3 linked regions of the Oryctolagus cuniculus genome follow. The protein of the gene in region 1 interacts with the protein of each later gene in a pairwise test. Links are inferred from orthologs where the notes say so. Each region holds a gene or a part of one and is shown in the gene's direction. Other genes may lie near its edges. The genes, in order: RASSF5, RASSF2 and MYLIP.

Region 1 (2,978 bases):
CACATGTGCTCAGAGGCCCAGGGTTGGAGGAGCAGTCTGCGGGTCACTGTGAGATCTGGGAGAGCCAGGCAGGGCTCTGTCCCTCTTCTCCACTTCAGGCAGGCAGCATTGCTGCCGCAACCTTTACCTGTCCAGTGTGTAGAGGCTGCTTCCATGTGTGACCAGCGCTGGCCCCGTGGAGCACTCCCGAGCTGGGGCTTGCAGGCCTGGCTCTACCTCTCGTTCTTGGTCTGCCACGGGCGGCAGAGACCCTCAGTTCTTGAGGAATGAGAAAACAAGGGTGGGGTGATGTCCTTGAGGTCACACAGCCGGTGCAGGATTGGGGTCAGGCTCAAGGCCTGGTGTCCTCTTCCACCTGCCGCTGGGGGTCCGGGGTGCTCCTAGCATCACTGTTAAGATCTCAGCTGCCTATGGCCTGGGAAAGCAGAAGATGGCCCAGGGCCTTGGGCCTCTGTACCCACGTGGGAGACCCGGAAGAAGCTTCCGGCCGTTGCGGCCATCCGGGGAGTGAACAGCGGATGGAAGACCTCTCTCTCTGCCTCCCTCTCTCTGTGTAACTCTTTCAAATAAATAAAAATCTTAAAAAAAAAAAAAAAAATCTCAGCAGCTACACAGAAAACTTGACTCTCCAAATCCAAGCACACACAGTGCATGGACAGGTAACTCTTGGGCAGGAGACGCGAGGACTTGCACCGTCGCGGTTCAGACAGCAAAGCCCGAGCCCCGCTCCTTGTCCCTGCCTATCCAGTAGCAAGCCGCGTGCACCGCTGCTGTAGGCCGCGTCTAACCCCCCCTCTCTCCTCACACAGTGGGACGCCTTCTCCATCCCTGAGCTCCAGAACTTCCTCACAATCCTGGAGAAGGAGGAGCAGGACAAAATCCAGCAGGTGCAGAGGAAGTACGGCAAGTTTAGACGACAGCTGGAGGCGGCCCTAAGGGAATCCCAGGGCAAGCCTGGGTAACCGGTCCTGCCGCCCTTCCTGCCCATGCCCTCGGATTTATTTTTAATTATTTTGCAACGGACACTTTTCTCAGGACCCCTCTGGCGGGTGCGCGCGCCTGCCCAGCAGTTGCAGATGAGGCACAAAGTTTCTTCCGTGGACAAGCGTCTGTGCGTGGGAGGGGCGGCCTGGCCCCTGCCCACCCCCAACTGTGGCCCCTGTAGACTCTGTCAGGGGCCACTTCCGTGAAACCAACAGCACTGTCCTCTCAATCTGCAAGCCTTTCAGAAGCCAAATAGTCGCGTCTCTCGTCACCAAACTGGAACCTGTCACCCCAGCCGGCAAAGGAAAAGGAAGCGGTGTTAAGAGCTACGTTCCCTCTGGCTTTGATTCTTCAGTCGCCCGTATTCCTCCCCCTGGGCGCCTTTATTTATGAGTTGGAGCATGTGCCTTTGGCAGGCAGGAGTGTGCTCAGGGCATCGTCCCCCTGCCCCAGGCTGCCTGCAGAGGGGAGATCCGCAAAGTCCCAGGCCTGGGAGCGCCAAAGCTGACTGGCGCCGAGACGCTGCAGCCTGCCCTGGCCCCGCTGGCCCTCTTTGCAAACCCAAAGGCATGTATCTGTGGCCATCGGGTAGTCACATCTTTGTCTAAACTTGCTTTTCAGTTTAAGTTTACATTTAACGTCACTAGAATTCTCATGTGTTTCCACCCAAGGGAAACCAGCCATTGACCACTGGAAGCCTCCCGCTGAGCACGGAAATCAGGCAGCAAGCCTGAATTGCAGATGACCATGCGCAAGCCGTCTTCAGCCTCACCCGACCTGTGAGAAGGCCTGGGCTGCCTCGGCTTCCCCCAGGCCTCCAGCACTGCCTCCCTCGTGCTGAGGAACTCTGGGATCGCCCGGTGCAACGTGAGGGTTTGCTCTGATCGGAGGGAAACCCACAGCCCGGCCAACATGCTGGCCCTTTGCTCTGAAGTGTGGGCTGGCCCGTGGCACCGTGCTCAGCAAGCCCAGGGGCCTGGGCTCCCCACTGACCTCAGTGCCTTTGTCTCCAGAGATAACAGGGGTGACTGCTCGAAGCCCTGAGGCTGGCTTGCTCCTGCCAGGGGAGCTGTGGCTCCTGAGGGGCTGGGGTCCCATACCTCCATCCTGTCTAGGTTCCAGGGCTCTCACGCCCGAGACGTGCCGGCAGACAGTTACTGAGGGGATCAGAGCCCCAGCCCTGTACCTTTGTTCTGGCTCCGGTGTATCGGTTCAGACTTCAATGAGCCAACCATCCCACCAAGCGGCCTGGACTGCGAAGACACTCCAGTGTGGAGGGAAGAGGACTTGCATATTCAGAGCAGGGCAGGTTTTTCCAATCCAGCCTCTGAGAAACTTTTTTTTGCTGTCTTCTGCGTCCCTGAGCCCCTGCTGGGCTGGCTGAAGGCCAAGCTCCCCCGTGTAGGCTCGGAAGTTCCCTCCCTGACCCCAGCTAAGCCCATGCGGCCCCGGGCCCAGAAAGAGTGCTGACCCTTGGTGCTCACTGCCATCTTCAGAGCCGTAAAAGCAACACAGGCTGGCCGCCCTGAAGATTTTCTTAAACCGCAACAACTCGGTGATCTGCCCGCCCACGCTCAGCCTTACCACCCCCCCACCCCCCAGCCCCCACCCCTGCCTCTGAAAGGGGGCAGGGAGGCCCCTCCCCTCAGCCCGTGCGACCCGAGGTTCCTAGAAGGCGTGGCTCCTGCTGCAACCGCTGTGAATGCTGCTGAGACCTCCCTCCCTGGGGGCGGCGTTTATTTTTTGAGAAGAAAAGTCATGTACATATATACATAAAGGCATATAACTATATATAGAGATAAGGGTGTTTATGACGTAAGAGAGTTAGGGGAAATGCAGAGTCTCTAAAGCACAGTCAGACCCGGGACTCGGGTGGGAGGCTGCGCCGAGGCCCTCCCCTCCCGAGGTGGGCGGGGCAGCTGCTGCTAGTGCCTTCTCTGGTGGAGTTGCTGGGTTTGTTTTCAGGATAGTTTCTTTTTAAATGTCTTTCTTAT
Region 2 (4,229 bases), on another chromosome or scaffold:
TGAATCAAATACCTGATCAACTGAGAAAGGAGAGAGATGGATTTGGTTTTGAACAGGGCCTGCAGGCAGGCGTCCTGGCAGCCCAGTTTGGACAGCAGGAGCCAGATGCTTGCTCATAGGACGCTCACCTGTCCCAGGGTGTGCCAGCGAGTTTCTCTTCTGGGAAGTGGCAGTAGAGGCTAAGGGATTTCAGCAGGAGCCTCTGGGTACTTCCACATCAGAGTGCCAAACCCAGGGCTGGGAGTTAAAGCGACGCTGTGTCAAGTGTCCAGGATGCAGGGAAGGCCACTGTGAGACGAAAGGGGAAAGAGACGGAGACCCCCTCCCAGCCGGCTCCCTCCAGCCTCTGGCTTTGCCTGTCTGAGCTCTCCATGAAGCCCCCTGGAGGAAACCCCCTGTGTCCTCAGAACACATTCCCCGGGGGCATTCCCCTTACCCGCCCGCAAAGGACAGGAGCTTCACAGCAAAGAGGCTCCAGCGGGGAACAGGAAGGCGAGAGCTTCGTGCTTCGAGCCCCCAGCACGGGCTGCAAACCCCCGAGGATACTTTTCCCCGGTGCAAGACGTCGCCCTGCTCCCGGGCGCGGAGCATTCTCAGCACCGCCCCACAGCTGCACTTCGGGCTCTGCAGACTTGCACCGGGCCGAGAGCGGATCCCCATGTGCGACATTGTTTCTAAGGGAGACGCATTCCAAGATGCAAACAATGTGCGGCGCGAAGAACGCTCCGCTTCCAGGCGGGGTTGGGGCTTGGCCACCCTGCACCCTTAGGACCCCTTCCTCTTGGGCGGGGGGAGATGCTGCAAGGTGGGCGGCAGGGAGAAGGTGGGATTCTGATAAGAGAACAGGAAACTCGCATCCGGGGTGCTCCAGGGCCTCCCGTGCCCTGGAAGCCCCCGGGCGGGAAAGATGGACAAAGAAACTTGGCCTCGGTCGTGCTTCGCTGTCACGTCTGCCAGCCCGCCACGGCGCAGGGGCCCACTAGCCGGCGCCCGGCTCAGACCTTGCCGGGAAAGGGTCGCGGTGTCAGGAAGGAGAAGCCCCCTTATCCTCTGCCCGGGGCAGGGGGGATCCGGGGCGCTCCAGGTGGGCTCGGCGGGCGTGGGCGTGGCTGTCACAGTGCCGGGCGCGCCCGGGAGCCCGGGAGCCGGGTCAAGTCTGCACCCCGCTGGGCGAGGGCAGCGGCGATGGAGCGGCGGGGGACCCCTCCCTCCGCACCCCCGCACGGCCGCCCCCTCCCACCCCTGCCGCCAGCCCGGAAGAAGCGTGGGCCGCGGGAGCCGGGACGCGCAGCCACAGCTTTGTCTGGGAGGGAGGGGAGAAGCTCCGCCCCCGGCGGGGAGGGGAGGAGGAAGAAAGGCGAGGGCAGAGGGTGCGGGAGGGATGGCGGGCGAGAGAAAGAGGGGGGAGCGGACGCGCAGACCCGGTAGGCTGATCAAGGCGGAGGGGGAGGAGGGAGCGCGAGGCTGGGCGAGGGGAGGGCGGGGCGGGGCGCCCGACCCCCACCCACCCTGCCCCTGGGGTCGGAGCCGGGCCTGAAGACCGCTGACAGAGGCGCGGCTGAGGCAGCTCCCCGGCCCCGGCACCCCCGCTTTCCAACTCCACGGTCCCCGCGGCGAGCGCGGGGTGCAGCTCGCCCGGGACGCAGGCAAGGCGCGGGGCGCAAGGTGCAGGGCTCGGCAGTCCTCTCCCCCGAGTCCCTCGCCTCGCCCAAAGTTTTCTGGCGGTGGCCCCTGCTTCCAGTCCGGGTCAGCGGGTCAGTCCTCTCCTGCCCCTGCGCTCCTCCCTCCTCCCGCAGCTGCGGGCCTTCCCGGGCTTGCGGACTCACCCCCACCCCTCATAGACCCCGCAGGCACCCGGCCCTAGCCCGCCCGCCTTCCGGCCGCAGAAAGTTGTGGCTACGAGCCGGTCCTCTCCTGGGATCCCTGGGGGGTCCATCCTTCTCTGTGCGCCAAGGGTGGAGGCGGGAGTGCGCCCCCACCCGTCCCCAGGGGCTCCGGGTCTCCCGGGCGGCAGGTGCAGGGATAGGCAGGCCCGTACATCCGCGGCGAGTCCCCGACCTCTATCCTCCCCGCTTCTTCCCTGCGCGACCGACGGGGCCCCAGAGGCGAGTTCCAGTCCCCGGCGCGGGGAGGCGGCGCACCCACGTCTCCTTCTGCCTCGGGTCCCCTGGTTCTCGGGGCACTTCCCTTTTTCGGTCTCCCAGCTCGCTTCCGAGCTGGTGCCGGAGGTCGCTGGGGATTTCGGCGTAGCGTCCTCTCTCGCCCGGAGCGAGGCAGGTGCCTAGGGCGGCCTCAGGCCACTTCTGCATTTTCAGCGCTTACTTTGCACTCAGCTCTAAGCTCGCGGCGCCCTGGGGACCGCAGAGTGGCGGTGGCTCTGTTTAAGCTCTTGGGGGGTAGGGAGGGAAGAGGAGCTGCGAGAGTCCTGCGCCGCAGGGACAGCAGACCCCGCACACAGTACTAATCAGCGCTGCTGCGCGCCCTTTATTCGCAGGTGTCCGGAATCCGCGGGTCTAGCACGTGTTCTCCGGGGGCGCAGAGACAGGGGACGCAGCCGGCCAGCGTTACAGTAAGTCCTGGCGGTGATTGTAGGAGCGGCTGAGCTGACAGGAGTTTCTCCTGGAGGGGACTCAGCTCCTGCCACTGTTGATTCTGGGATCATGGGGAGAAAGAACTAGAAACCATAATTGTTTCAAAAGGGGAAAGGCAGCCAGGGGGGCCTAGGGTGGAATCCCAGGTTGAATGGAACTTGCAACTTTTTCTGCAGGTGGAAGAATGAAACTTCTCATGGTCAGACACATTGGGTCGCTTGAGGAGAATTCATGTTTTTCAACTTGTAGCCAAATGCTGAGGTGTCCCACAGAAGTGGGGCCATAGGCAGGCCACTGGGCCCTTGGCCTTAGCAAAGATTGGGACCTGACTTGTAATCTGCCTGGGCACTGGGGAGTGTGGGCAGCTGGGGTTTGTGATTCCCTGTGCTGGGGAGCCTGGGAGGTGAGCCCTGTTTGCCAGGGGTGGAGTCCAGGGGAGACCCGAGATAATTCCTGGGGTACAGCTTATATATATCCTGGGTAATCCACTTCCCTCATTGTGTGTGGTGGAAATCAGGTTAGAATAATGGGGGGAGAAACCTGAGAAGCCTGGCGGGAGGAGCCCCTGGTCGTGCTTCCTTCAGGGACAGGTGTGTGTGTGTGTGTGTGTGTGTGTGTGTAGGGGTGCCTGTGTGTGTGTGTGTATGTGTGTATGTAGGGGTGCCTCTGTGTGTGTGTGTGTGTGTGTGTGTGTGTGTGTAGGGGTGTCCTCTGCTTTTAGCCAAGCAGGCCAGAGCACGGGCTGTACCTGCACCTGCTCCAACTCCGGCCAGCATCATCCCCACCTTCACAGGGGCAGTGTCCACTTTGTCCCTGGGCGCCGCAGTCCATCTCTCTCTGCATCTCTGCGCGGCTTCTGCTTGGAGACTCAGACTTTCTCCCCAGTTTGTGTTCTCTTCAGAGAACTTCATTGCAAGCCCTGGGCTCTCTCTTCCTTACCTTCCAATGCTGGGGCTCGCTCGCCTGAGTCTGCTTTTGTTTCTGTTTCCTGGTGCCCCGGAGCCAGTCTTCGTGTCTCTGCTCTGTGCGTGAGCTGCTTAGCAATGGCTGAGAGCGTCGACTGGAGAGCTGCCCGGGGCTGAGCATCTTGGCACCGCAGCTGCCTCAGAGGGCTGGCCAGAAAGGGGAGCTGTCAGCAGAGCGTGGGGGACCTTGGCTGGGGAGTGTGCTCCGGCCTCTTTGGGATGCTTTGGCAGGAAGTAGCCTCACTGTACGGGAGGTGGGGACAGAGAGTCAGGGCCAGGTTGCCAGAGAGGCTGGGAAGTGGAGCGAGTGATGTCAGGAGTGGCCCCAGGACTTGCTTAAGTCTTGCCCTTCCCGTGCGCACGTACCAGTGCAGCTACGTCCTTGGAATAGAACAGGACTTCCAGTCCCTGTCTTCCAGCTGTGGCTGCAGAGTGGCTGCAGCTGGGATTATAAAGCCCCAGGTGACAGTCCCTCCTGTCATGCATCACAGCCCAGGCCAGCTGTTTACCCCACTGACACACTGTCCCATGAACACCTCCCTGCTTCCCAGAAGAATTTTAAAAGAGTCTTGGAGGTGGGGCAAGCTCCACCAGTCTGTGATTGCCGGTGTCGCTTACTTGGCCTGCTTGTGGGTTCCTGTGGGGGATGTGGAAGGGGCAGGAGGCCCAGGGC
Region 3 (4,373 bases), on another chromosome or scaffold:
AGAGGACACATGCACGTGTCTCCACGTGCAACACCAAAGGCCCATTACAGTTTCTTCTTTTTCCCCCTAAGATTTATTTATTTATTTGAAAGGTAGCGTTACAGAGAAAGGCGGAGAGACACAGAGCTCAGAGGGCCACGACAGTCTAGGCCAGGAGCCTGAAACTCCATCCAGGTCTCCCACACGGGTGGCAAGGCCCAGGCACTTGAGCCATCTTCTGCTGCTTGCCCAGGTGCATGAGCAGGGAGCTGGCTGGGAAGTGGAGCAGTGAGGCTGGCAGCAGCTTAACTTGCTGTGTCACAACGCTGGCCCCTAGTCCAGTTTGTGCCCCTTTCGGTGAGGGCCTGTGGTAGGCTCCCTCTCTTTTGCTTTCTGCTCTGCTGCCTTTCCTACAACAGAAATCAAGCGACCTGGCACAGAGATTCACCCGAAAAGAGGTAGGAACGGGAGCCATCATTAGCAGGCAGTGACCGGGGCGGACATGACAGCTCTGGCATTAAACACAAGGACACAAATGCTGTCATGGATGGTCTCCCCTTGGCTGCTCTGGCGGCCCATAGAACAGATGTCTTGGGCTCCACCCTAGCAGCAGTTGGCAACACTGGGCCTCAGAGAGAAGTAAAATTTCCAAAGGCCTGGGGCTCCTCCTGCAAAGAAACCCGAGATGTGGGTTGAGTAATGCACTGGTAAGCAGGAATAAACAGTAACTGAGTGAAGAGCTGTGGAGTTCCAGTTGCTAAATAGCTACTACGGAACAGGGAACATGACGGCGGGGTGGGGTGGGGGGTCCCCGATGCAGCAGGGGCTCCCTGAATGCTGGCTGACTGAGCCGAGGTAAGACCTGAGACGGGATGGGCAGCCTGAGAGAAGGCCTGGGGCCCCGTGACGGGGGGCTTTCATTCGGCAGGGCTCAGCCAACAGAAGCCCCTAGAGAGGGCCGACCCTCATCTGCGAGCGGCTGCAAGGCGCTCTGACATTCAGTCGCTGTTATTTCGGAGCCAGGGTCTACACGAAGGGACCGCCTGGGTTGCCGTCCCCAACCAGACACGGAGGCAAACCCGGAGGGGGCGGGTAGGCGTCCGTGGGCTCCGCGGGGGCTCCTCTTCTTTTTAGGCTTTCGCGACCCAAACGCCCTCCTGGAGGGACCCCATGTTTCAGGGGCAGCTTGGAGGCGTTTAGTCCTCTCACTGTCGAGCCCCCGACAGGGAGACGTCGCCGCCAGCAGCCCGAGGCGACCGCTCGCGAGGAGCAGCGTCGCCCAGCGGGCACAGGCACCGGGTGTTCTCCGGGCCCCCCCAACCCCTTCGCGGCTCCAGGCGCCCGCCAGCGGCCGCCTCCCGCAGCGGCACGGGGAACTCAGGCGGCGCTGGTGGCCGGGGCCGCCCGAGCGGGCTCCCCGATTGGCTGATGGGGCGGCGGGAGGAGGGGCAGGGGCGCCGCGATTGGCCGGGTCCCGAGCCGGAGGGGGCGGAGCCGCTATATCAGGGGAGCGCCTGTCGCGGCGCAGGCAGTTGGCTGCTGGAGTGCGGCGTCGCCGCGGAGTGCCCGGGGGCCGGCAGGGCGGGCGGGCTGGCGGGCGAGGGGGTGGCGGGGACGGAGCTGCGGCCGCGGGCGTCTGTCTGCAGCCCTCGCCGAGCCCGGGGCTGGGTTCGAGCTTTGGCGAGGCGGTAGCCCCGCGTACACCAAAGAGGAGGTGGCTGAGGTGGCCGTGGCGGCAGCGGCGGCCCCAGCCATGCTGTGCTATGTGACGAGGCCGGACGCGGTGCTGATGGAGGTGGAGGTGGAGGCGAAAGCCAACGGCGAGGACTGCCTCAATCAGGTGAGAGCGAGCACCCAGGTCCGGGCCCACGTCGGTCTCCAGAGGCCGACGGGCCTCGAAGGCGGCCGGGCGCCTCAGGGAGCGCGCCCCAGGCAGGCACCGGGCCCCGCACCCCGATCCCGCTGCGGGCGTGCGGCGCGCGACCCCCTCCCGGGCGCGCTGGCGGGGTGCGGAGGATGCGCGCTGCGGGGGCCCCTGGCGCGGGGGCGCGGGCAGAGCCCGGAGCGCAGCCCAGCCCCCCCGCAAGCCGGCACTTTGCCAGAGCCAGGCGGCCCAGCACACTTGCCTCAGGTGTGTGTGCGTGACGCCGCCGGTGGGGTCCCTGCAGTGCCACCCACGTCCCAAAAAGGAGTGAGTGGACGCGGTCTCGGGCCCAGGGTGCCTTGGCAGGCAAGCTTGGCCCTTGTCCCGTGCCGCGTTTCCAGCGGAGCACTCACCTGCATCTTCGGATTTGCGGGCGGGGGCAGAGGTACTGTAGTTGTGGGTGCACCTGCTTGGCTGCCTTGAAGCCCGCGTTTCCTTCCAGAGCGAAGGGGGAACCGAGCTGGTTCGGCAGGCAGCAGGTCTGATCCCAGGGGACGCTGTGCTCCCACGCCGTGTAGACAGGAGAGGTTTGGAGAACCTCGTGTGACGCACAGCTGACACTTGTGGCGGGTCTCGCGTGCGTGCGTGCGTGTGTGTGTGTGTTTGGAGTCCAGGTGGTTAACACTACCCAGATAATAGCTGTCGGAGCAGCTCTGTGGATTGTGCTGGTACCGGGCATCGTAGTGACTGGAGTCAGAAGGAAGAGACCCTGAAGATGCCCCTGCTCTTGAGCACTGCTCTTTCTGGGCTGCTGTGGGCATGCCCTAGATATTGAGGGAGGGAGGGACAGGTCTCCGTCCTGGAGCCAGCGGTTAGCGTCGCAGCACCGGTGGGTTTTGGCAGAACTGTAGCAGTCTTCAGCTCCAGAGAGCCCCGGGTTCCTTTGACCCCATGTCCCGTTTGCTCATCCGTGCCGCCTTTGTTTTGACTTCAGGTGTGCAGGCGACTGGGAATCATAGAAGTTGACTATTTTGGACTGCAGTTTACCGGTAGCAAAGGTGAAAGTTTATGGCTAAACCTGAGAAACCGGATCTCCCAGCAGATGGACGGGCTGGCCCCTTACCGGCTTAAACTCAGAGTCAAGTTCTTCGTGGAGCCTCATCTCATCTTACAGGAGCAGACGAGGTAAAGCGGCACTCAGATAGACCCTTGTCAGATGCACCTTAGATTCTGTTTAGGGGGCGCCGGAGCAGCCTCCCCGGGGTGTTCACAGGCAAATTTGGTGCGGTGAATGCCTTCCTTACCCACGTTCTGCAGGGCACAGCCCTTTGGTTGAAGAGGGAGCCACATAGTTGGCCTGGGCGCATTTTGCAGCTCCTGTTTTTATAAACTTAATGGGAGAGCTGGGTAGAATTCCCACAAACCCTTGAGATTGTTGTCACATGGGGGAAAAAAAAAGAACCAGCCAGAGAAACACCAAACTGCCTACTTCCTGACAGCAGCATCCAATGGCCGATAGTAACCTCTGCCTCGGCAGTGTTACTGTAGGTCACTGTGGACGTTCTAACAGAAAGCAGGAAACAGTTCCTCTTGGGTTACTTAAACTTGGTCAGCTTCGGCCAGTGTCAGATTACAGTGTGTAGCAGAGAACTCTGTCAGGCTTTGTGCAGAATTTTTGAAGTTTTTAGTTTCTTGAAAACTTAATAAGAGCACTCTTTTAAGGCTACTGTAACTGAATCCTAACCCACAAATACATTGCACACGATTGGGGAGTCTCTCTCTGCCTTGTGAAAATCCACCACTAGTGGTAGACAACTGAAGCAAATGATCTTTTTTAAACAAAAATGTGTTCTCTCTGGCACTGACTTAGTACTTTTCTCAAGGGTGAGTGAAACTAGGAAAGTTATGTTTAATATTTATGGCTAAAATGCAAGACTTCAGTCTTACTAAAGCAGTCAAAAAGAAAAAAAACGAAAATGGCTACTTTTAAAAACAGCAAACTTGGATCTAAGCTGTAATGTTTTTCATAATCCTTTGCCTTGGAAATCTGCCATGCATGTGAAAAATGTGATTCTGAAAATTTTGAATAATGATGAGTGAGCAATATTCTTTAAAGATTTTTTTTTGGTTTGTTTATCAGAGAGCTGATAGAAATACATTTTGAAATAGTATTTATTTGAGTTTGAAATTTCCACTTTGTTTTTTTATAAAACTCAAAATGTTGAGGAAAATGTTTTATTTCTGAAGGAAGCAGTTATACTGAATTTTTAGTGCTCTTGAAAATATCTTGCAAAATATTCAAGTGACAGCATGCTTAAGGAAGTTATAGCTGTCTATGTTAATCAAAATGGGCTTTTTTTCTTTAAACTAATTTTTGAAAGCTTCTGCTTTGCACTTCACTGCCGTAACTCACAGTAGAATAAAAGACAAAGTATATATAACAAAGCATAGTGGAATTTTCATTACATAGTCTTATGATTTTTCAGTTATTTCGGGCTACCAGATACAACCCAATTTAAATGTTTTAAAT

The links.
Region 2: the proteins of RASSF5 (region 1) and RASSF2 interact in binary tests that used the Homo sapiens proteins (3 or more experiments, as listed by UniProt). The link is inferred for Oryctolagus cuniculus from reciprocal best matches to the Homo sapiens genes RASSF5 and RASSF2.
Region 3: the proteins of RASSF5 (region 1) and MYLIP interact in binary tests that used the Homo sapiens proteins (3 or more experiments, as listed by UniProt). The two-hybrid records come from large-scale screens. The link is inferred for Oryctolagus cuniculus from reciprocal best matches to the Homo sapiens genes RASSF5 and MYLIP.

Annotation. Positions count from the first base shown.
Region 1 is NC_091444.1:21,763,542-21,766,519, forward strand, and holds the end of RASSF5 (ras association domain-containing protein 5), read left to right. Parts: intron 1-809; coding exon 810-962; 3' UTR 963-2,417; downstream 2,418-2,978. UniProt on the Homo sapiens protein: Potential tumor suppressor. Seems to be involved in lymphocyte adhesion by linking RAP1A activation upon T-cell receptor or chemokine stimulation to integrin activation.
Region 2 is NC_091442.1:29,939,553-29,943,781, reverse strand, and holds the start of RASSF2 (ras association domain-containing protein 2), read left to right. Parts: upstream 1-1,326; 5' UTR 1,327-1,424; intron 1,425-1,509; exon of another isoform or gene 1,510-1,754; intron 1,755-2,044; exon of another isoform or gene 2,045-2,273; intron 2,274-2,494; 5' UTR 2,495-2,569; intron 2,570-4,229. UniProt on the Homo sapiens protein: Potential tumor suppressor. Acts as a KRAS-specific effector protein. May promote apoptosis and cell cycle arrest. Stabilizes STK3/MST2 by protecting it from proteasomal degradation.
Region 3 is NC_091436.1:143,408,823-143,413,195, forward strand, and holds the start of MYLIP (E3 ubiquitin-protein ligase MYLIP), read left to right. Parts: upstream 1-1,510; 5' UTR 1,511-1,732; coding exon 1,733-1,819; intron 1,820-2,837; coding exon 2,838-3,028; intron 3,029-4,373. UniProt on the Homo sapiens protein: E3 ubiquitin-protein ligase that mediates ubiquitination and subsequent proteasomal degradation of myosin regulatory light chain (MRLC), LDLR, VLDLR and LRP8. Activity depends on E2 enzymes of the UBE2D family.